Diceros bicornis minor: one gene and its partner. The protein of the gene in region 1 purifies or fractionates together with the protein of each later gene. This does not show direct contact. Links are inferred from orthologs where the notes say so. Each region holds a gene or a part of one and is shown on either strand. Other genes may lie near its edges.

Region 1 (9,992 bases):
AACTATGCAGATGAATGAAAAATACCAAAGCTCTCTATACACTGTTTTGGAGGGATCTCCAGGATATATTATGAAGTGAAGAAAGCAAAGTTAGAACCGTGTACATAATAAGAGAGCTACGAGGAGAGGCACAAGGGGGCTTGTCGGGTACTGGTAATGTTCTATTTGTTGACCTGGGTGGTGGTTAGGTGGATTGTTCCCTTTGTGATTAACTCATAAACCTGCACAGTTACATATATTTTTCTGTAGGTGTGTTGTACTTCCAAAAAACCGTTTAAAACAATGAATTATACTCTCTGAAGATTCTTAGCCAAAAAATGAGTGTGTGTGTGTGTGTGTCTGTGTTTGTGTGTGTGAGAGAGAGAGAGACGGAGAGAGAGACAGAGAACAATCAAATGAGGGGAACTTGTTTGGACTCTGATTTGAACAAGCAGCAATTTTTAAAAATCACATTTTTAGACCATTGAGTAAATATAAATATGGACATGTTATTAGATTATATAAAGGACTCCTTGTTAATTTTGTTAAGTGTAATAATGTAAGAAAACATCCTCTTCTCTTTTCTTGAGATACATGCTCTTCTCTTTTCTTGAGATACATACTTAAGTATATGAAAGTGAAATGGCATAATATTGAGATTTGCTTTAAAATACTCTAGCAGAAAAAAAAAAGTGGGGCCATACATAAGGCTGACAAAGTGTTGACAGTCATTGAGGCTGGGTGAGGAGTAAATGGAGTTTCTTATATTCTCTACTTTTGGATTTAAAATTTTGTTATAAATTTTTTTAAATTAATCAAGTCGTAAAGGTCTCAGTCATAACAGCCTCTGAAGAGTTCTGCATACTTGGTCCTAATCTGTTTTTTCACTGAAAGATGTTTGCAACACTAGCCCTCATGACCCCGCCGTGGCCATTCCTTCATTCATTCAACAAATGTGTTTGAGCACCTGCTGTACGTTAAATTTGAGATGTCTTGTGTTAAGCTGAAAAATGCTCCAGAAAGACCAACCACGTGATTAGAGGGTTGGAACTTTCAGCACCACCACCCCCACCTCTGGGAAGGGGAGGTAGACTGGAGATTGAGTTAATCATCAATGGTTAACCATTTAATCAATCATGCCTTTGTAATGAAAGATCCATAAAAATCCTAAGCAATTGGGTTTGGAGAGCTTCTGGGTTGGTGAACACGTTGAAGTGCTCAGAAGCTGGCACGCCCAGAGAAGGAATGGTAGCTCCGCGCTGCTTCCCCCATTCCTTGCCCTTCGCATCTCTTCCATTTGGCTGTTCCTGAGTTGTATCCTTTTTCCTGAATCTTATAAGCTGTTCCAGCAAATTGTTGAACAGAGGAAGGGGTCGTGGGCTCTCCTGATTTATAGCCAGAAGTATGGGTGGCCTGGACTTGCCATTGGTGTCTGAAGTGGGGGCAGTCTTGTGGGGCTGAGCCCTTAACCTGTGGGGTCTGCGCTAACTCCGGGTAGTGTCCAAATTGAACTAAATTGTAGGACGCCAGTTGGAGTCTGCAGAGAATTGGAGAATTGCTTGGTGTGGTAAACTCATGCATTTGGTGTCAGAAGTGAAGTGTGTAAGTACAGAAACACTTTTCTTATACAGCATATGAAGTAACAGGGACAGTTGGATGGCAGATATGGCGATGGGAGGATATTAAAGTTTTCTTGTGATTACTTCTATCTTCTCATTCAAGTGGGAAGCAAAGTCATCATCTAAGAGTAAGAAAGGAGGAGAAGGTTCTGAGGTTTAATGAGAAAGGAGAAAGTGTAAAATAATCCTTCAAGCAAGTCCAACCACTTTGGAAAATAGTGTGTCAGTTTCTTAAAAAGGTAAACATACTCTTACCATATGACTCAGCCATTTGACTCCTAGGACTCTTCTCAAGAAAAATGAAATCACATGTCCACACAAATATTAACACATGAACGTTCATGGCAGCATTATTCATAATAATCAAAAACTGGAAACAAATCAAATGCCCATCAATAGATGAATGGATAAACAAAATGTGGTGTATCCATACAATGGAATCCTCAGCAATAAAAAGGAATGAATGACTGATACATGCAACAACATGGAACATGATGCTAAGCGACAAAAGCCAGACACCAAAGACTACATATTGCATGATTCCATTTGTATGAAATGGGATAATGGAATTGTTCTGAAACTGGATCGCAGTGATGGTCGCACGACTGTATGAGTTTACTAAAATTCATTGAACTGTGCACTTAAAACAGGTGGATTTTATGGTATGTGAATTATGCCTTAACAAAGCATTTAAAAGTTAACACATGTTACCAATACTACCAATTGGGAAAAAAATAAAATGGGAGACTGAGTGGATTAGGGACATGTGATAGGATGGCTGGGCAGCACTAGGGCCCATCGGGTTTGTGGTCATGAATCCAAAGTGAGACCAGCCAGAGTGGGTGTGAGTTTTTCTCCATCCACATCCAGCTGCCAGGGTGCAGGTGCAGGGGAGGTGGACAGTGGACTCAACTGGGTGAAAAAGACAAAGTTAGAAAAGAGCACATATTGTGAAGGTGTGAGCAAGGGAGTGGTGATCATGATGGATGGGGACTCAGGCTGGGTGGTGGGAGTGGTATGGTCATGGGGAGGTGAGGGACAGGGAAAAGGCAGTCAGCTAAATGAACTGGTGGAGCTGAAGGATCATTGGAGCAATAGCTCTAGAGGGAGTGGGCTAGAGAGACAGGAGGCAATGGGCAGACAGTGAGATGCATGGATCTGAGATTCTGCAGAGTGTCAACCTAAAAGGAAAATTTGGCTGTTATTTTACCCTCAAAATGAGTTTATTCAGGAATAGCCAAAAGAATTGCAATTTGGGATGTGCACACTATGGTGAACCATAGGCAAATCCAGAAAACAAAGGAAAGAAGCTCACTTTTGTACAGAAAAAGGAGTGGGGAGGGGCTGTTCTAAAGGAAAGTCCATTGGGAGAAAGTAACAGTTCAGGGTGGCAATGGCTTCTCACTGGCGGTTCTCATTGGCTGGGCTGTTGCCGGGTGGGGAGAAAAATCTTCCTTCAGTAGTACAGTAATTGTACTTCCTGTCGGAGATGCAAGCTAAGCCATTTCCTGTTTGAAATAATTAATGATATATGCTAGGGCATGAGAGCGCCCCCTGCAGGCCTTCCAGACTCCAATTTAGTTGAGGTTTCCTTTCTTATTTTGCACAAAGGGCTGCAGTTTTGGAGTTGTCACTATCTGGGGACTGGTCTTTCTCCCTCATCGTCACCATTGTGTCCCCAGCACAAAGTCTAGGTGTGACCGTGGGAAGGAAGGGTTGGGTGGAGGACAAGATCACTAGAGGAGAGGAGATTAAGGCATAGAGAGGCCAGAACCGTCCCAGAAGCATCAACCTGAATATGGAAATCACCAAGAATTATGATCAGAGCAGCTTGAGTGGCAGTGAGCCTGGAGCCAAAATGATGAAGTGAGCTGGGAGTTGATAGAGCTAGCAGCAAGAATGAGAGCAGGTGCTATAGTATAAGGTTCAAAATTAGGGGCTTAGGGAGGAGGCAGAGAGAAAGGCAAAGAGCAAGGAGGAGAAAACAGCTCCTGCTTGGAAGGGCTGCACAGAACGGCATGTCTTCAGGGGAGAGCTAGGTTGTGGTTAGAGCAGGAAGGTAAAAGGAAGGCTCAGAGGGAGCTGAGGATATGAGAGATATAGGGAAAAGCCCTCAATGGCTCCCCCTCCCAGCCCTGACCATTCTGCCTGTACCTCCCCCATTCTGGCCCTCACCACTCTGGGTTGACACTGTCTGAGACCTGTCTGTCTCCCCCACTGGACTGGCAGTTCTAGGAGGGCAAGGCATGGGACTCTTTCAGTCACCATTGTGTCCCCAGCACAAGACCAGCTGGTGGGGCCAGCCTGGTGGCATAGTGGTTAAGTTCACACACTCTGCCCCAGCAGCCCGGGGTTTGCGGGTTCAGATCCCAGGCACAGACCTACACACTGCTCCTCAAGCCATGCTGTGGCGGCGTCCCACATACAAAATAGAGGAATACTGGCACAGATGTTAGCTCAGGGACAATCTTCCTCACACACACAGGAAAAGACCAGCCGGCACCCACTAACTACTCACTGATAGTGCCAATTTCAGGTCTGCAGAGCAAGTTGGCAGGTGAAATACCTCAGAGCCAGGAAATGGTGCCAGGATTCCAGAAAATAGGGCTGGCAACCCTAAATCTGCACTGTAGCCTGACTGTTTTTGTCCTTTAGAAAAAAAAATGTTTTAATTGGAAGGCAAACAGTAAAAGCCATAAGAAGTAGGTAACATCCTCCTGAATTGGAGCCATTTGAAGTACTATGCAGCTCCTGGATATCCAGAATAGACTCAGCAGATTTTCCATCTTAATATTTAAACAAATTTTCAGGAATGTTTCTGTACGGCTGGAACACCCTGCACAGAGAATGTAAAACAGCATGGGTTCATTCATTCATTCAACAGACATTTACTGAGCACTCACTCTGTGCCAGGCTCTGTTCTAGGTACTGAGTGATACAGCAATGAATGGAACAGACTAGTGGACTCTCCTGGAGGTTTTAAGGAATTTTTCATAGTAGCATTTGTTTTGCTTTGTGGAATGAATATAGGCATGAATGTTAATTTATAAAATTACAAATCACAAAATTCTCAATACTTATGCAGAATCTGCTCACTCCTTTACCTCCTTTTAGCTCTTTGCTCAAAAGTCACCTGATGCGTTCCTTGACCACCCTACGAGAAATGTCACTCCCTCCACACACAACACACACCAGTCCCTATCTCCCTTCCCTGCCTTCTAATAACTTGTTTGGCGTCTGTTTCTCCCATTAGAAGACGAGCTCCAGGAGGGTGGGGATTTTTATGTCTTGTTCACTGCTGTATTCCCAGCGCCTAGCATAGTGCCGGGGACATACAAGGCGCACAATAAATGCTTTTCGAGTGTATGAATGGGAGCCCAGAGTCGGTCGGTCCCTGTTCTTGGGGAGTGGAAATGGATCACAAAGGCTTTTGGGTGTAGAGGGGACCTTTGGGAGCTAACGAGGAATAGAGAAGAGGGGCCGAGGGCACGGCCCGTGCGAAGGCTGGGAGATGATCCCTCTTTACCGGGGTGCTCGAACCGGTGATGGGGAAGCGGGAAGTGTGTTTAGGGTACCGATCGCTGCACAGGTCAAAACAGCGTGGAGAGCGACGAGGCTCGGGAATCCCCGCCCACAGCACAGGCGCCGGGCTCCGGGCGGAGCTGGCCTCCGAGGGGCGGGGCTGCGTGGTTGCGTCACGCCCCGTACGTCGCCGCGCGCGTGCGCTCTTTTCCACGTGCGAAATCCCCGGGCTCGTGGAGTTCCGGACGCGGCAGGCTCGTGAGCCGGGCAACTCCGCTCTCGCCATGAGGCCAGGTGCGGCCAGGGTTGGGGTCGAGGGTCAGGGACTGGGGCCTGGCGGGAATCGGGGTCCCAGGCCGGAATCGGAGTGGGGGGTCCTTGGCCTCAGGGCAGGGGTTCTGGGCTCGGATCCGGTCTCGTGTGGGGAGGGGGAGGTCACGGTCGTGAGTCCCTGGAACTGGAGGGTCCTGAACTGGGATTCATCTCACTGAGGCCGTCGTTAGGGGTCTTGGACATTGGGCCGGGGGCGGCAGTCGGGGATACTGACCCAGAGTCTGGATCCAAGCGTTTGGGGTCTGGGATCTCTGGGCATGGGTTTGGGAACATGTCTTGGTTTGGAGGTGGCGAGTCCCTCGTGCTGGGTCTGCGAGGCCCCCGTTTGCCTCCCGTATCGCCGCCGCTCCCACCGTCCCCTTAGCCCCCAACCCAGCTTCTCAGAGAGGGCCGGAGTGGATGAGGACTCCCGCCTTATAGCGTGTGGCCCTGTCTGGCCCACGTTCCCGCTCTCGACTCTTCCGAGGAGGCGGGTCCCTGAGGATGGAGTAGAGATCCTGGGCCTAGTGATTCTCAACTCAGCGGTGAGATGAAACTTCACAAGCCCAGGATAGGATTAGCGTGGGGGAGGGGGGAGGTAGTCACAGGGCATAAGTGCTTTTATCCTTTCGATTTTCCCTGAGATTCTGATGAACCCACCCCACCTCCCTCATGGTGTAATGATGAGAGCCTTGGCTTTGACAGCTGAAGGGTCTCGGTTCAAAGTTTCAATCCTGGCTCTGCTTCTTAACCTACTGTGTGACCTTGGGCAAATGGCTTTACCTCTCAGAGCCTCAGTTTTCTCAGCAATAAAATGGCTCCCAGTTATAATTTAGTGAGATCATGTTAACAAAAAATAATACATGGTGGTAATCATTTCACAGTGTAGAAGTGTATCAAATCAACAGGTTGTACATCTTAAACTTAGACAATGTTGTATGTCAATTATGTCTCAATAAAGCTGGGGAAAAAATAGCACAGGGCTTGCCATATAATAGTATTGGCTCTAATTGTTATCTTTATCTTCTCAAGGGGAACAAAATTAGGGTCTTTCTCCCTGGTGTCTCAGCTCTTCCTAAGTCAGGCCATACCCCTCCCCACAACTTTCTCCACTGGAGCTGAGGAAATCTTCCACTGTGATCAAACGGGTCTATTTTCCTAGTACAGGTTTTCTTTTTTCTTTTTTTTTTGTTCTGGTGTGCGGAGAGATGGGGTCATTGCGGGGGTGGGGTTTGTGAATCCATGCCCCCTCCCAGGCTCTCTTTCTCTTCAATGTTCAGGGAGCTACTGATGAAGTGGGGTGGGAGGTGCCAGGCTCTGTATGTCCTGAGACCCTGGTATCCCTGCAGGCACCCTGTGGTCTGATTCCCCCCAGGAATGGAGGATACACCTTCCTCCCAACCCTTCCTCCGTTGCGTTAGGATATGAAGTGGTAAAAGTAAATCTACCAGGTTTCAGGAATCGGCTCTGCGGGAATGATTTTAGTCTGAATGAGAGGAAGCCTTTGGGAGATGTTGAGCAGGGATGCTGTCAGTTAGACTTGATTGACACTTTTAAAAGGATCCCTCTTGCTTCTGTGTGTATAAGACTTTTGGGGAGCAAGAGTGGACATGGGCACATGGGTGGAAGTTTGGTGCTGTAGTCTACTAGGAGATGATGTGGCCTGGACCAGGGTGAGAGCAGTGGACCTGATTGACAAATCGTCATGATTTGGGAATATATTTTGAAGACAGAGCCAACAGCTTGTATGTGGGTGTGAGCTAGAGGAATTAAGGATAACTAAGGGCTTTTGCGTGTGTAGCTGGAAGGATGGAGTTGCCGTTTTTGAGATGGGCACAGCTGTGGGAGGAGAGCAGCTTTAAACCAGGGGGTCTGTGGACCCTCCACCAAAAACTTCTAGAAAAATGTGTGTGAATATGTGTTTTTCTGAGCAATGGGTACTTTGAGTACCTTTTTCTAAGAGCCCCAGGACCTGAAATGGATTAAGCTATGCTTTGAGTATCTGGGACTGCAAATTTACCTTCGTGCCCATTGTCCCCCATGCCGTGCCCACACTTCCCAGGTCTCTGTTCCTCGGGCCTGGGTTGAGAACCTCTTAGGCCTAGTGGTTTCTTCCTAAGTAGGAGGGAGGGGGGACTCATTCCCCCGAGTTTGAATAATTCAAACTGTGTGCCAGGCAAACTGTGTGCCAGGCAGTGTATTAGGTGAAGTGCTTTGTGTGTATTAAGTCATTTACTCTTGACAACTCCCTGAGGTGAGCACTGTGTTATCTCCATATCTCCGTCTTATAGGTGAAGTTTTCAAGACTCCCACAAACCTTCCCTGCTCTCTAGGGTCGTGAATTGCGTGGCCATCTCGCTGGATGGACTACATGAGCTGCTTGAGGGGAGGGGCCAGGGCTCTGGTCACCATCTGATCACCTGCTTTCTGAATGAACAGAGAGGGTGCTCTCTGCAGGAGCAGAGCCCAGGGATCTAAGGGTTATCACAGACAGCTCATTGAATGTTTACCAAGCCCCTGCTTGGTGTCAGGTGTTGCGCACGGTGCTGGGGATGCTGCGCTGACCAAAACAATTAAACATGCCTGTCTCTTTGGAGCTTGATTCTGGTGGAGGAGGCAGGCGGTGATAATATTAAAAACGCCGTGTGTGGTCATCGATAGGAAGAACGAGCAAGCACGGGAAAGGTGGGGTAGCAGAGAAGGCCTGTCTGAGGAAGGAACATTTAATCAGAGACCTGAGTGCAGGGAAGGAGGTGGGCCTAGCACGTGTCCACAGGAGCCAGGCAGGGGGACAGCAGATGTTAAAGCTTTAGATGCCGGAGAGCGAGTTTGTTCTTGGAGAGGAAGAGCGTGGGGCCCAGGATAGAGAGAGCGCAGTCAGAAGTCAGCAGAAGCCAGGGCCTTGTGATGGAGTTCACAGTTTGGGCCACACATTAGAATCCCCGGGGGAACTTTAAGAAGCCCAGGCCCCGGCCCCTAGCCCAGACAGTTCAATCAGAATCTCTAGGTTCCAGGGATTAGCCAAAGGGGAGACCCACTGATATAGGGTTTTGGAAGCCAGGGAAAGGAATTTTGATTTCATTTTGAATGTGATGGAAAACCATGGAAGGGATTCGGACAGGGGATGCTGAGATCTGATTTGCTGTTTGCTGTTTTAAACAACTCCGTCACTAGCTGCTCCGTGGACAGTAGGCTGTAGAGGGGGAGACGATAAAGGCAGACAGCTCTTGGTTACGTGAGGAGTTTGAAACTGTTCATTTTTAACAATCAAATTAGGAATAGCGATTAGAAATTCCACCTTTTCATCTTTAACGCCATTCAGATGCATGAAGCTTTCAGAGTGTGAATACAATGCACCTTTACAAAAACTTGAGCAAGTGTACTAGTGACTAGTTTACATCAGGTGAGATCATTTTAAACCATCACTCATTTTCACGCTATTGTCTTATAACTCGTAGTTTTTCTGAATGGTACTGCAGAGCTTTTGAAACCCACACAGAAAAGTCACATATTCAATCTGTTAGCACCAGAATTCTGTCTGCTCCCAACATTGTTTTGTGCTCCGTGAAGTGAACAATGTTTGCTTTCTCCTGAAGTGATGAAAATAAAGTCTCTCCAAATCTTTTTCTTTTTCTTAAACTTTACATCTTGTTGACAAGCCCTAAACTGCTTAAGAACTGTTGCCCATCCATGAAAGACAATTCAGGTTTTTTTCTTCTTTTTCCCTGAGCTGTGAGAGACTTCTGCAGCCTTGGAAGCCGAGAGATCAGTTAGAAGGAAAGACATCATTCCAAGCTCCTCCCCCCTGTTTGGGAGTGGGCGCTTTTCTTCCAGGCATGAGGTCAGGAGTGGGAGGGCACGAAGATGTTTCCAGAGTCTGGAGGACCCTTCTGCCACGGTGCATGCACACATGCAGTGTTCGCTCTTTTTCAGACTAATTAATATGGAAAATAGAATGACTTCTGCGACTCTGCTATCCAACCAAAGAAAGCAGGATATTGACAGTAACCTACGTCGACCTATATACTCTTCCCCATCCTAACCCCATAATTTCTCCCTCCCGCCACCCAAGGTCATGAGTTTCGCAGTTATCATTCCCTTGCCTCTTTTTGGGGGGTGGGTGGCATGGGTTACCGCATATATCAATCAATCCAGCATAGCATCGTTGAATTTTAGTTGTTGCCGAACTTTATGAAAAGGATATTATGTGGATGTGGTTTTCTTGCACTTGCCTTTTCACTGAATGTTATGATTCTGAGATTTATCTGTCGTGTGTAACTATTGATCCTTTTCATTGTTGATTGTGAATTTTCCCCATATTATTTGTCCACTCTGCTGATGGACATGTCTCCTGGTGCAACGTGGACGTTTCTCCAGTTTCCTGAGTAGAGGTGTAGGAGTAACTACTTGAGTTCATTGTCCTGATTCCTGGTTCTGTTTTCGCCACAGGTTTCAGCCCCCGTGGGGGTGGCTTCGGTGGCCGAGGGGGCTTTGGTGACCGTGGCGGTCGCGGCGGAGGCCGAGGAGGCTTTGGCGGAGGCCGAGGTCGAGGTGGAGGCT
Region 2 (10,706 bases), on another chromosome or scaffold:
CCATAAGAAAGACAAAATTGTCCCATTTGCAACAACATGGATGGACCTGGAGGGTATTACGTTAAGTGAAATAAGCCAGAGAGAGAAAGACAAACACCACATGATTTCACTCATATGTGGAAGATAAACTAACACACGGACAGAGAGAACTGTTTGGCGGTTACCAGGGTTAAGGGAGTTGGGGGGTGGGCATAAGGGGGGAAGGGATGCATGTATAGGGTGACTGACAAACAATAATGTACAACTAAAATTTCACAATGTTATAAACTATTAAGACATCAATAAAAAAAAGAATAGCTGCAGCTCTGCATGCAGATGAACAGGGATTGAAACAATTATGCAAAAAGGAAAAGTACTAGGAAAAGCAGTAGAATCTGAGCTAACTCATTTTTTTTTGAACCAAGAGCATTAACATGCATTTGTTAAAAAAAAATGTTCCAGAATTAGATAGCAGTGATGGTTGTACAACTTTGTGACTACACTAAAAACCACTGAGTTATACATTTTAAAATGGTGAATGTTATGGTGAATTACACCTCAATAGAAAAAGTTTTTAAATATTGTTAATAAATCAAAATTTATGACAGCCTCTCAAATATGTTAAAAGGAGCTTTTCAAAGGCCTAAAAACCAATTATTTTAATATCCGACTCTTAATGCTTAATACAATTGCCCCCAACGAGCTAGTCTCATTTCCGATTTTTAATAAGATTGTAAAATCTTGTGGTTTTAAAACCTTCTTTAGTACCTCCCCCCACCCAAATTGGTAATAGAACTACCCTTTCTCACCTCACTCACATTCTGATTTAATATATACACTTAAGAAACACAGTAAAGGGAAGGGAGACAGTGCAGAGGCAGAGTTCCAGTGAGAGAGGTTACACGGAAACCTTCACGAGATCTAGCAGTCCCTCAACAGGCCGCAGTGTGCTGCGTGCAAGAACCTTCTCCACAAATGGTCATCCCCGATTTTGATTTAAACCCTTCCAGAACAGAAAACTCAAAAGGTGTCCCATTCCATCTTCAGAACTATCCATTGAACTGCTAAAAATATCTTCCCTATACTTACCTCACTGTACTCTTCCCTACTGGGGAAGAGTTCTGCACCGTAGAAACTCTTCCATTAGACCATCTCTTAAGTTTCAGCACAGCTATCATGAGCTGCAAAATCCCCTTTTCTAGTCAAAATCCTTAGTTCTTTCAACCACTCCTCAGACCTTGGTTTCATAATTTGTCACCACTCAGGTCACTCCCTGTGATTGACTCTAGTTATGATATTGAGAGAAACTTGTACATTAACCCATCTGTGCCTCAGTTTGCTGAGATCTGTAAAACTGGGATAATAACAGGATAATCTGTAAAATTGGGATAATAACAGTACATATAAAACTGGGATAATAACAGTATATAACAGATCTGTAAAAGTGGGATAATAATAATCAAAGGATAATAGGTGTTATGGAGAAAAATATACAGCAGGGAAAGAGGAATATGGAGTTCTATAAAAGGCAATAGGGTAGGAGTGGGGAGGGGGTCGGTATGTCACATAGGGTAGTCTGGGGAGGCCTCTAAAACACCCATTTGAACAGGGACCTGAAGAAGTGAGAAAGTAAACCATGTGGGCATTTGGAAGAGAATCCCTGGCTAAAAGAACAGTAAGTACAAAGGATGTGCGCTTGGTGTGGTCTGAGGAGCAGCAAGGTCGGCAGGCTGAGGAAGAGAGATAGGGAGAGCAGTCAAAAATGGACAGAGAGAGGTAGCACTGTAAAACTTTGCAGGCCAGCTTTTATAGAAGTGGGATGGACATGGCATCAGAAGGGTGAGATTGCCTGACCTGGGTTTTAAATGACTGCTGGGTTGAGAATACCCTGTCCAGGGAGCAAAAAGGAAGTCACTGCAATCACCGAGGTGACTGATGAAAGCGCCTTAGACAAGTGTGCAGACTGAAGGTGCTAAGAGAGGGTCCGTTTCTGGCTATGTTTTGAAGATAAAGCCAAGAGGATTTGCTGGTGAATGAATGTAGAACGTGAGTGAGAAAGAGGTCTGGGACGACCCCCTGGTTTTTTGGCAACATGGGTTTGTATTCTGGGAGGCTCTGCCACTTACTGTGTGACCTTGGCAAGTTACTTAACATTTCTCTGCCTCAGTTTCCCCCTCTGTAAATGGGGATAATAACAGTACTTACCTAATAAGACTGTTGTGAAGATTATATGTAAAAAAAGCTTAGAAGAGTGCCTTCCACTCTACAAGTGCTAAATAAGTATTGCTATTATTATCATCATCGTCACCATCATTATTATTATTAGCTTGCTTGTGGAAAGATGGAGGTGCAGGAAGAACAGGTGTGGGGGAGGATAGAGATCAGGAAGTCAGTTTTGAACGTGTTAAGATTCTACTGGACATCAAGTGAAGATGTTAAAGAGACAGCTGGACATAAGTAGAGTTTAGTAGGAAGGTCAGGGCTAGAGAAGTTTATCTGGGAATTGGAGACATATAGACAGTACTGAAAACCATGAAACTAAAGAAGATCCCTCTAGGGAATGAATATAGAATAAAAAAGAATTTCCAGAATAAATATAGAATAAAAAAGAGCCTTGGGACACTCAACATTTTACATGTTGGGAAGACAATGAGGAACCAGCATCCTCCTTCCAGGAGTGGCATCCTGGACGTCAAAGTAAGAAAGTGTTTCAAGAAGGAAGGAGTATCCAGCTGTTTTGAAAGTTGCTGAGGTCCAGTAAGATAAGGAATGATAACTGATCACTGGATTTTACAACACAGAGGCACTGGCAAGCCCTGATAAGAACTGTTTTGATACAGTGGGGATGATAGTCAGGTGGAGTAAGTTCAAGAACGAATGGGAGGAAATGAATTGGAAACAGCAGATATGGAAAACTCTTAGAGGAATACTGCTACAAAAAGGAACAGAGAAACAGGCATCTAGAGGGGAACGTGGGTCAAGTCTGTTGTTGTTTTAAGATGAGAGAAAATGCAGCAGTTTTTAATACCAGTAATAACGTGTCAATGGGAGCCTGAGAAAAGGGTGATGCAGGAGAGGAGATAACTGTTGAGGCCTGTCCTTGACTAGGCCCGAGGGCACAAAACACAGTGTACAAGAGAGGGGATAGCCCAAGAAGACTTACGTCACTGCGTCATTCATTTATTTACTCAACAAATATTTATGACTAAGTAGTCTGTGCTCGAACTACTCTAAACACCAGGGATACATCCGTAAGCAAAATCAATAGTTACATGAGAGAATCTACATAAAGCACTTAGAATAATATGTGCTTTTGGCACCTGACAAATGCCAACTAAATACAGACAGATCTGAACTATGTTCATCCAAATCTTTTATAAAAATATGGACAAAGACAGTGTCCTAAAACTTGCCCCTAGAGAACTATCAGTGGAGTTTGAATAACATGCTTTGAGTTGATAAAATTTAACTTACTTTTGATAATATGAGAAAATGGCTTTAGAACTCATTGAATGCAACCTCTTAATTTTGAAGAAAAAAGTTAAAAACAGAAAGCCAAGTTGACTTGCCCAAAGTTACTAAATTAATTCAGTGAAGAATCAAGAGCCAAAATTAAAACCCAGTTCTCCTACTTCCTACTCAGGTTTTCATTACGCTTTCTTTGATCTCTCTCTCGCTCTCTGACAGAAAGGCTGAAAATATTATGACTGCAATTTCTGTCTTCCCTCTACTTCTGCCTGGCCCTTCTTCCCCTCCGATTTACCAGAGGCTGTACTTGACTCCTTACCACTTTATTTTAATCCAATAAAAATTCTAATTGTTAAAAGATTTTTCAGGGAGATATAATATTTTAGTTACCAAAATTCCAGGTTATTTCCTATTTAAAAAAATCTATGATAAAACACAGTCCTATGCATCACATTTAAAGTATCTTAATTTTCTCATCTGGAATTCATGTAACTTGTAAGAAAGAGTTGACAGGCTGAAATATTACCATGTTGATACTGATAGTGAGGAATATTTCCTATTATTGACTTTACAGATGTTTAAAATCAGAATATTTCAAAAATGGATAAATCAGAACAGAGGATTTTTTGGTTTGTTTTCTACAAAACCTTAAAGAAATAAATCTGTTTTTAAACACCCATTACCAGTACTTTTTGCCAGTCCTGGTGGTCTAGTGGTTAAGATTCACCCCCTCGGCCCAGGTTCATGTCCCAGTTAGGGAACCACACCACCCATCTGGTGGTTGTCATACTGCGGCAGCTGCGTGTTGCTGTGTGCTGGAAGCTGTGCCACGGGTATGTTAAACACCAGCAGGGTCACCCATGGCGGACAGGTTTCAGCGGAGCTTCTAGACTAAGACAGGCTAGGAAGCAAGACCTGGCCACCCACTTTCAAAAAAATTGGCCATGAAAACCCTATGAATAGCAGCAGAGCATCATCTGATACAGTGCTGGAAGGACGAGAGGATGGCGCAAAAGACCAGGCAGGGTTCTACTCTGCTGTCCACAGGGGCGCTAGGAGTCAGCATCCACTGGACAGCCTAACAACAAACCAGTTCTACCACCATGAATGGTAGCAGATGCATTTCTTACTTTCAGTATATGAGCCACATTGAGGATATGCTGAAAATGCCAATTAAAAGAAATACTCACTGAAACACAAATTAACTTTCCCTTTTTCTTTTTGCATTTTTAATAGTGGTTTAACAGGAGTTTAGTACTCAGTTTTAGCGACTAAGCATTCTATTTCAAACAGTCAATAAAGCTGAAGTTTATCTAATATTTCAGCTAAGGTATCCGCCAAACTCAACCTTTTTATCTTTAAAACAATACCTTTTAGATTTCAAGCTTCAAACTCTACGTTCTGATATGAATTACCTTTCAAGGATTCTTTTTTTTTAATCCTAGGATGTCCTTCAATTTCTAGCTAAAATCTTCCAGTGCTTGATAATTACTGCTCTACCCTTATTTTCTTAACCCAGCCTCATCCGTAAAATGTTGCTCATCAGCACTCCTACCTTCTTGAGTCACTAAAAGGAGCATCTCTCTGACATCAAAGGCAGCAGTAAGGATGTGGGAATAAACATTTCATATGAAAATTAATCTTCTATTTCCACCCACCAATAAATGTGGCCAAAATATTAGTGACTGTCCTAAATGTCTGGATTTTTACCTCAGTTTTTATATACTCTAAAGAAAGAGCAAACCAATTTCAGCATCAAATGGAAAACCCAGCCCTAACCGCTCCAACAACCGTCAAGTCTGAACGTGCTTCTTTGAGGAGGCTGCCTGGGCAGTCTCGACGAACACCGCGCACCCAAGACCGCCGGCTTTTTTCAAATGTAGAGTGCTGCTCCAGTTTTGACATCCTGATTACGTGCACATGTAACTTTTTTATCAACCAGCAGCTTGAGGGCAGAGACCTGTATCACAAGCTGCAAACCGCAGGGACCCAGACAGTGCCTGGCGCCTAAAAAGTATTGGGCACCCACACTACCCACAGCACAGAGAAGAGGTGTGATATGCACGGTTCCCTCAGTGCCTTCCGCAGCCCTGGGAAGCAGGCACTACTGATCGCCCCACTTTACAGACAATCACGACGAGGCTCAGACAGGCTAAGCCGCCTGCGCGGGTCACACAGGTAGCACAAGGGGCACAGACCAGGATTCGAAGCCTGACCATCTGCAGGCGCACGCTCACCCTCCACCCCGGCGGCGGCTCGGCTGCGCTCCCGGCATCTCCACAGCCTCCCCGAGCTTCCACACCAGCAGGCTCGGCTGCGCTCCCGGCATCGGGAGGTCACCGGGCCAGCCCCCGGCCTCGCGTGCGGCGAGCTGAGACCACACGCAGGTTTCCGGGCGCGAGGGGAGATGCGGGGCGAGGAGAACCGGCTCGCGGGGCCCCCCCCGGTGCCTGAGCCCAACACCGAGCCCGGCGGGGAGCGAGCCGCCCGCCCCGGGAGACTGCACGCGCGGCCCGGGCCGCTCCCAGCCCCGCGCGTCTGACGCGCCGTCGGGCGCCGGGCGGGGAGGAGCGCGGGGAGACCACGGCGGGCGCCCACGCACCTCGGGCGGGAGGGAGCAGAGGCGGCTCGCCCTCACCCTCGAGCAGCGGCGGGGGCTCTCCGGTGGCTCAGCGGCCGCGGGAAGCGGAGAAACTGGAGCGGTTGGCTCAACCTGTGAGGAAAAAGTCGAACGGCGCTGCGGCTGCAGCCCGGGCGGGGTTGAGTGTGACACCGCCCGTCGCCCCGCCCCTTCCCGTGGCCTCCGGGAGCCACTTCCGGTGGCGGCTCCGCAGCCTCCTCCCGCCTGGAGCGGCCCCGGGCTGGTTCCTGACTCGCCCCAAGACGGGCCGGCGAGGCCTCCTCCGGTCTCCAGGAACCGAGCAGAGGCCGGGCGGCCGGTCCCGCGCCGTTTACCGCAGGGCTGCCTCCACCGAGGTGGAGGATGTGCTGCGAGAAGTGGAGCCGCGTGGCCGAGATGTTTCTCTTCATCGAGGACCTGGAGGAGGACTATAAAATCCTTTGCCTCTGCTCCAGGGCGTTCGTGGAGTAAGTAAAAACGTGTTCCTCGTCGTTTCTGGCACCGTGGTTGCCCAGGAATGGACGTGTTGAGCACTAGTTGTAAGTGATCCCGGAAACCACGACCAGAGGCCTTGGCCCTTGGGCATGGTGATGTTTAAGCAGCGGCAGCACAAGTCCTCACACTGCGGAGTGGCGGCCTGCTGCCCTGAAGTGAGGGAGTGGGTCTCCTCTGTAGGCTGTTAGGGGAAGTGCGGGAGCTCGTAGATGCCATTTTGTATTTATAAATTGAGGGGGCATTTCAAAATTGGGGGAAAGTGATATGTAAAATGCAGTCTCTTTCATGGACGTGACGTCGCAAGGTGAAGGTTTGAAAATGGGTAACTTGTTTTGGTTAATATCTTTTTTAAAACCTTAAGATTTGCTAAAGCGCAAACGCACATAAGTAGGACTTCTGATTACCTGAGATACAAGATTTAGCTACATTTACATCAGTTTTTGAGCTGTCTTTATTTTTGGGAAATATTTGTTTCGGGTAAAAATTGCCCTGCATGGAAGATAGCTAGCGGGCAGGAAAAAAAATGACTAAAGAATTGGATTCTAGGGGTAGTTTTCTTTATATTAGATGTGTACATTTAGCCACTTAAATCTTTTCTTTTAATCTCTAAAACAAGTATATTTATCCTAATCATTTTAATTGTTAGATAGAACTTGCAGAAGTGAATTTTATGTGACAGACTTTTAATATAGTTTAATGTAGTAGAATTTAAGTTTGAAGAAATTCTTACTATTCATCATGTGTTTTTGTGGAGTAATCAGAAAATTAATGCAAAAAGAAATTAAACACTGTGCTAAATTTAATGTAGAAAGTATTATCTTTTCATTCGTGTATGCATGTATTCATTCGATGAATGCTTTTTGTGCTTCTTTGTATTAAGTCCTGGTGGGCTCTGGGGAACAAGACACAGCCCATCCCTATGTCCTTTGAGTTTACTTTCTAGCAAGGGTGATGAATAGTAAGACAACTGTTACATAAGCAGTTGGTTAATTATAGTTGTAAGTGCTGTGGGAGAGAAGTACAGGATGCTATGGCAGCAGAAACCTAACCTTTGCCCACAGATCACAGAGATTTAATTTCGAGAAAGTAGTGTTTGAAAAGAGGTGTGAAGAGTGTGTGGAGATAAACTGGGATGTGTTTGAGTGGGAGGAAGCATTCCCAGAAGCAAAACTCTGTAAAAGTCTTGAGGGAGCAAAAGAAGCCTGTGTAACTGAAACAGAACGGCTGGGAGGGGAAGATAGAAGACAGGGTTGATGAGGGAGGCAGGGTCAAATATGCAGGACTTTGTAGAAGACAGGTTACTCCGGCAGCAGCGTGGGGGGTGGTTCCGAGGAGGAGAACCACTTAAAATCATTTTCCAGGCTACAGATGATGGTGGCTTGGATTAGGATTGGTGGCAGTGGAAATGGAGAAAGAAGGAATTATAGCAGAAAAATTGTTGAGTTGAGGGGATTGGATTCAATGTAGGGGAATAAACGAAAGATAAAGGATGGGAAGGAGGAAACTAGGTCAAGGGTAACACCTTGGTTTCTGGTTTGAATTGATGCCTTTCTCTGAGATAAAGATCACGGGAGAGTGATAGGTTTTTATTTTGGGACAGTAGTGAGAAGACAGTCAATTTTGTATGTTTTAATTTTGGAGTACTATGAGATATCCAAGGGTGGATGTTATAGATGGTTGGATATATTGGTTTGGAGCTCTGGCGAAGTCTGGGCTGGTCTTAAAAACTTGAGCCATTCTAGTGCAGATAGTAATTGAAGCCATTAATTTATCACTTAAGGGTGGGGGGGTGTGGGATCCATCCTTGAAGAATTCCAACGTTTTTTAAAGATTAAACGAGAAGAGATGGATTAACTGAGAAAGAGGTAGAATGCAAGTATACTGTCACCAAACATTTGAGGGAAGGAGTACATTGGAAAGCTGGTACTGTAACAAGCTATATGAGAACTAAAAAATATCCACTTGAATTGGTAAAAAATTTTTTAAAAATCTGCTAGATTAGGGCCGGCCCCGTGGTGTAGTGGTTAAGTTCGTGCGCTCTGCTTTGGCAGCCCAGGGTTCACGGGTTCGGATCCTGGGTGTGGACCTATGCACCACTCATCAGGCCATGCTATGGCAACGTCCCACATACAGAATAGAGGAAGATGGGCACAAATGTTAGCTCAGGGCCAATCTTCCTCAGCAAAAAGAAAATCTACTAGATTGTTGACTTGCTCAGTGCCGGGCAGTAATTGCTTTACATTTCATACTTTTTTTTTTTTTTCCGTTTAAGCGTTCCAGCAGTCCCCTGAGCTGGGATGTTTTCTTCCTATCCTTACTTTATTCAAGTAGAAAACTGAGTTTCAGTAATGGCCTAAAAAAAAATCAGACAGCCGGGTAAGTGGCAGCCCTGCTTTCTACCCCAGGTCTGTGTTGACTCCATAGCCTTTCCACTATCCCACTAATTAGTCTAGAACATATGATTTTATTGAATCTTCCCAATTGAGTATTTAAGTGGTCTAAAGTCACTAGGACAACTGGAGCCTTATTAAAATATTTTAATGTATTTTATTTGAGATAGAGAACTATTCTGGAAATTGAAGAACCTGTGTTTACATCTCATCATGCCCATGTGACTGGTGGTGAGCACAACAAAATCATTTGAATGTGTTTTTTCCCACAAAATTTCTCATTTATTCACCATGTATATCAGCCACCCATGTGTCAGGCACTGTAATAAAAAGATGACTTAGGCACGGTAGTGATGATTGTTGTATTCAGAGGTGTGATGATGAGCTGCTTAGGGCTCTTAGGGGAGCAGTATCTTAGTGGGGTCACTACAGTGCAGGTCTGGTCTCCAGCTTTACGATTCAGTTCAGCAGTTAAAGTTTATTTAGTCCTTACGATGTGCCAGGTCCAGATACTCATCCAGAATCATTATGCTCTTTGGCTTGAGTTACACTGACCAAATTCAAAGATTGCTTTATAGAGAACACTTAGCAAGTATAACAGAAAATTCTTTGAATATCAGGCATCAGAAATACATCTTTCTCAGTGATGAATGTTCTTGGAGATTCTTGAAAGTTGCCCTAAGTAAGAAACAGTTGTCATAAAAATTTAAAAGCTAGCATTCTCTCTCTTACTGCTAATCTTTCGGCCTCAGATTATCTGTAGCCTTGTGATGTACGAGTAATAACCTTGGATACCTGTTTCACCTCTCACCCATGAAGAAGTGTCTTTCTGCTCCTACCTCTGGACCTGGGCTGACTTATTGGGCTGGCCCATTCCCCAAAAGGGGTGCAGGCTAGCACTGTGGGCGGGGCCAAGGCGCTCACCACAGGAGAGTACCTGGCTGTATTGTTGGGTGTGCAGGCCAAGAAAGAAGAGTCAGCTTGCATAGGGCACCAGCCCAGGTTACATAGTTAGTTCTTAGCCTGCAGCCCACTTGAGTCTTGATGCTGTCTTCATGAAGCCTCCTTTCCAAAAAAAGAAAAGGAAGGGAGAGAACATAAGTTACAAAATATAAAAAGTTGAGAAAAATTCTCATACCATACCTCTAGAAAACAATATGTAACTGGATTTCAATTAAAGTGACTTTATTTAAAACAATTTTAATTGCTATATAAATCACCAATTATATTGAATTTAGTCTTTTTGAATTAAAACGTGCACTCTTTTCATTACAGATAATTTCGTACATATTCTTAAAACTTACAAGCTCTACTTCACTTTTAGAAACTACATTCCAACTTCAAAATAAGTAAAGAGAAAAGAATGACTTTTTCCTTTAGCTAAATTAATGCTCAGACAAATTATAACCCTTTAGAACAAAAAGAACTTGGAGATATGATCTTGGAATTGTTGCCAGTAGGAATTGTTGAGAAGTCCTCAGGAGTGGGAGACAGGCTGAAAGTTCAGAGGCTTGTAAGTGTAACCCTGATTTTCCAGGTAGGGAAAAGGTCTGTTTCAGAATCTAAAAACAACAGATTTGATTGTTGGCAAAATTCTAAAATAGATTATTAAACTGAAAAATCAGTACTGCATAGCAGAAACATAGAAAATGAGTATAATTTCCAAATAACTTCTCAGTAATTGAGTTGCTTCTCATACTAAATAAGGTTATTTGTACACTTCCTCTCAAAGGCAGGAGCTAGGACATTGTATT

Evidence for each region.
Region 2: the proteins of FBL (region 1) and TGS1 purify together in Homo sapiens (affinity purification with mass spectrometry; 3 studies listed by BioGRID and IntAct, counting the BioPlex papers as one, with this or other methods). This does not show direct contact. The link is inferred for Diceros bicornis minor from reciprocal best matches to the Homo sapiens genes FBL and TGS1.

What each region holds. Positions count from the first base shown.
Region 1 is NC_080773.1:13,612,532-13,622,523, reverse strand, and holds the start of FBL (rRNA 2'-O-methyltransferase fibrillarin), read left to right. Parts: upstream 1-5,305; 5' UTR 5,306-5,404; coding exon 5,405-5,414; intron 5,415-9,881; coding exon 9,882-9,992.
Region 2 is NC_080772.1:9,611,584-9,622,289, forward strand, and holds the start of TGS1 (trimethylguanosine synthase), read left to right. Parts: upstream 1-6,277; 5' UTR 6,278-6,430; coding exon 6,431-6,534; intron 6,535-10,706. UniProt on the Homo sapiens protein: Catalyzes the 2 serial methylation steps for the conversion of the 7-monomethylguanosine (m(7)G) caps of snRNAs and snoRNAs to a 2,2,7-trimethylguanosine (m(2,2,7)G) cap structure.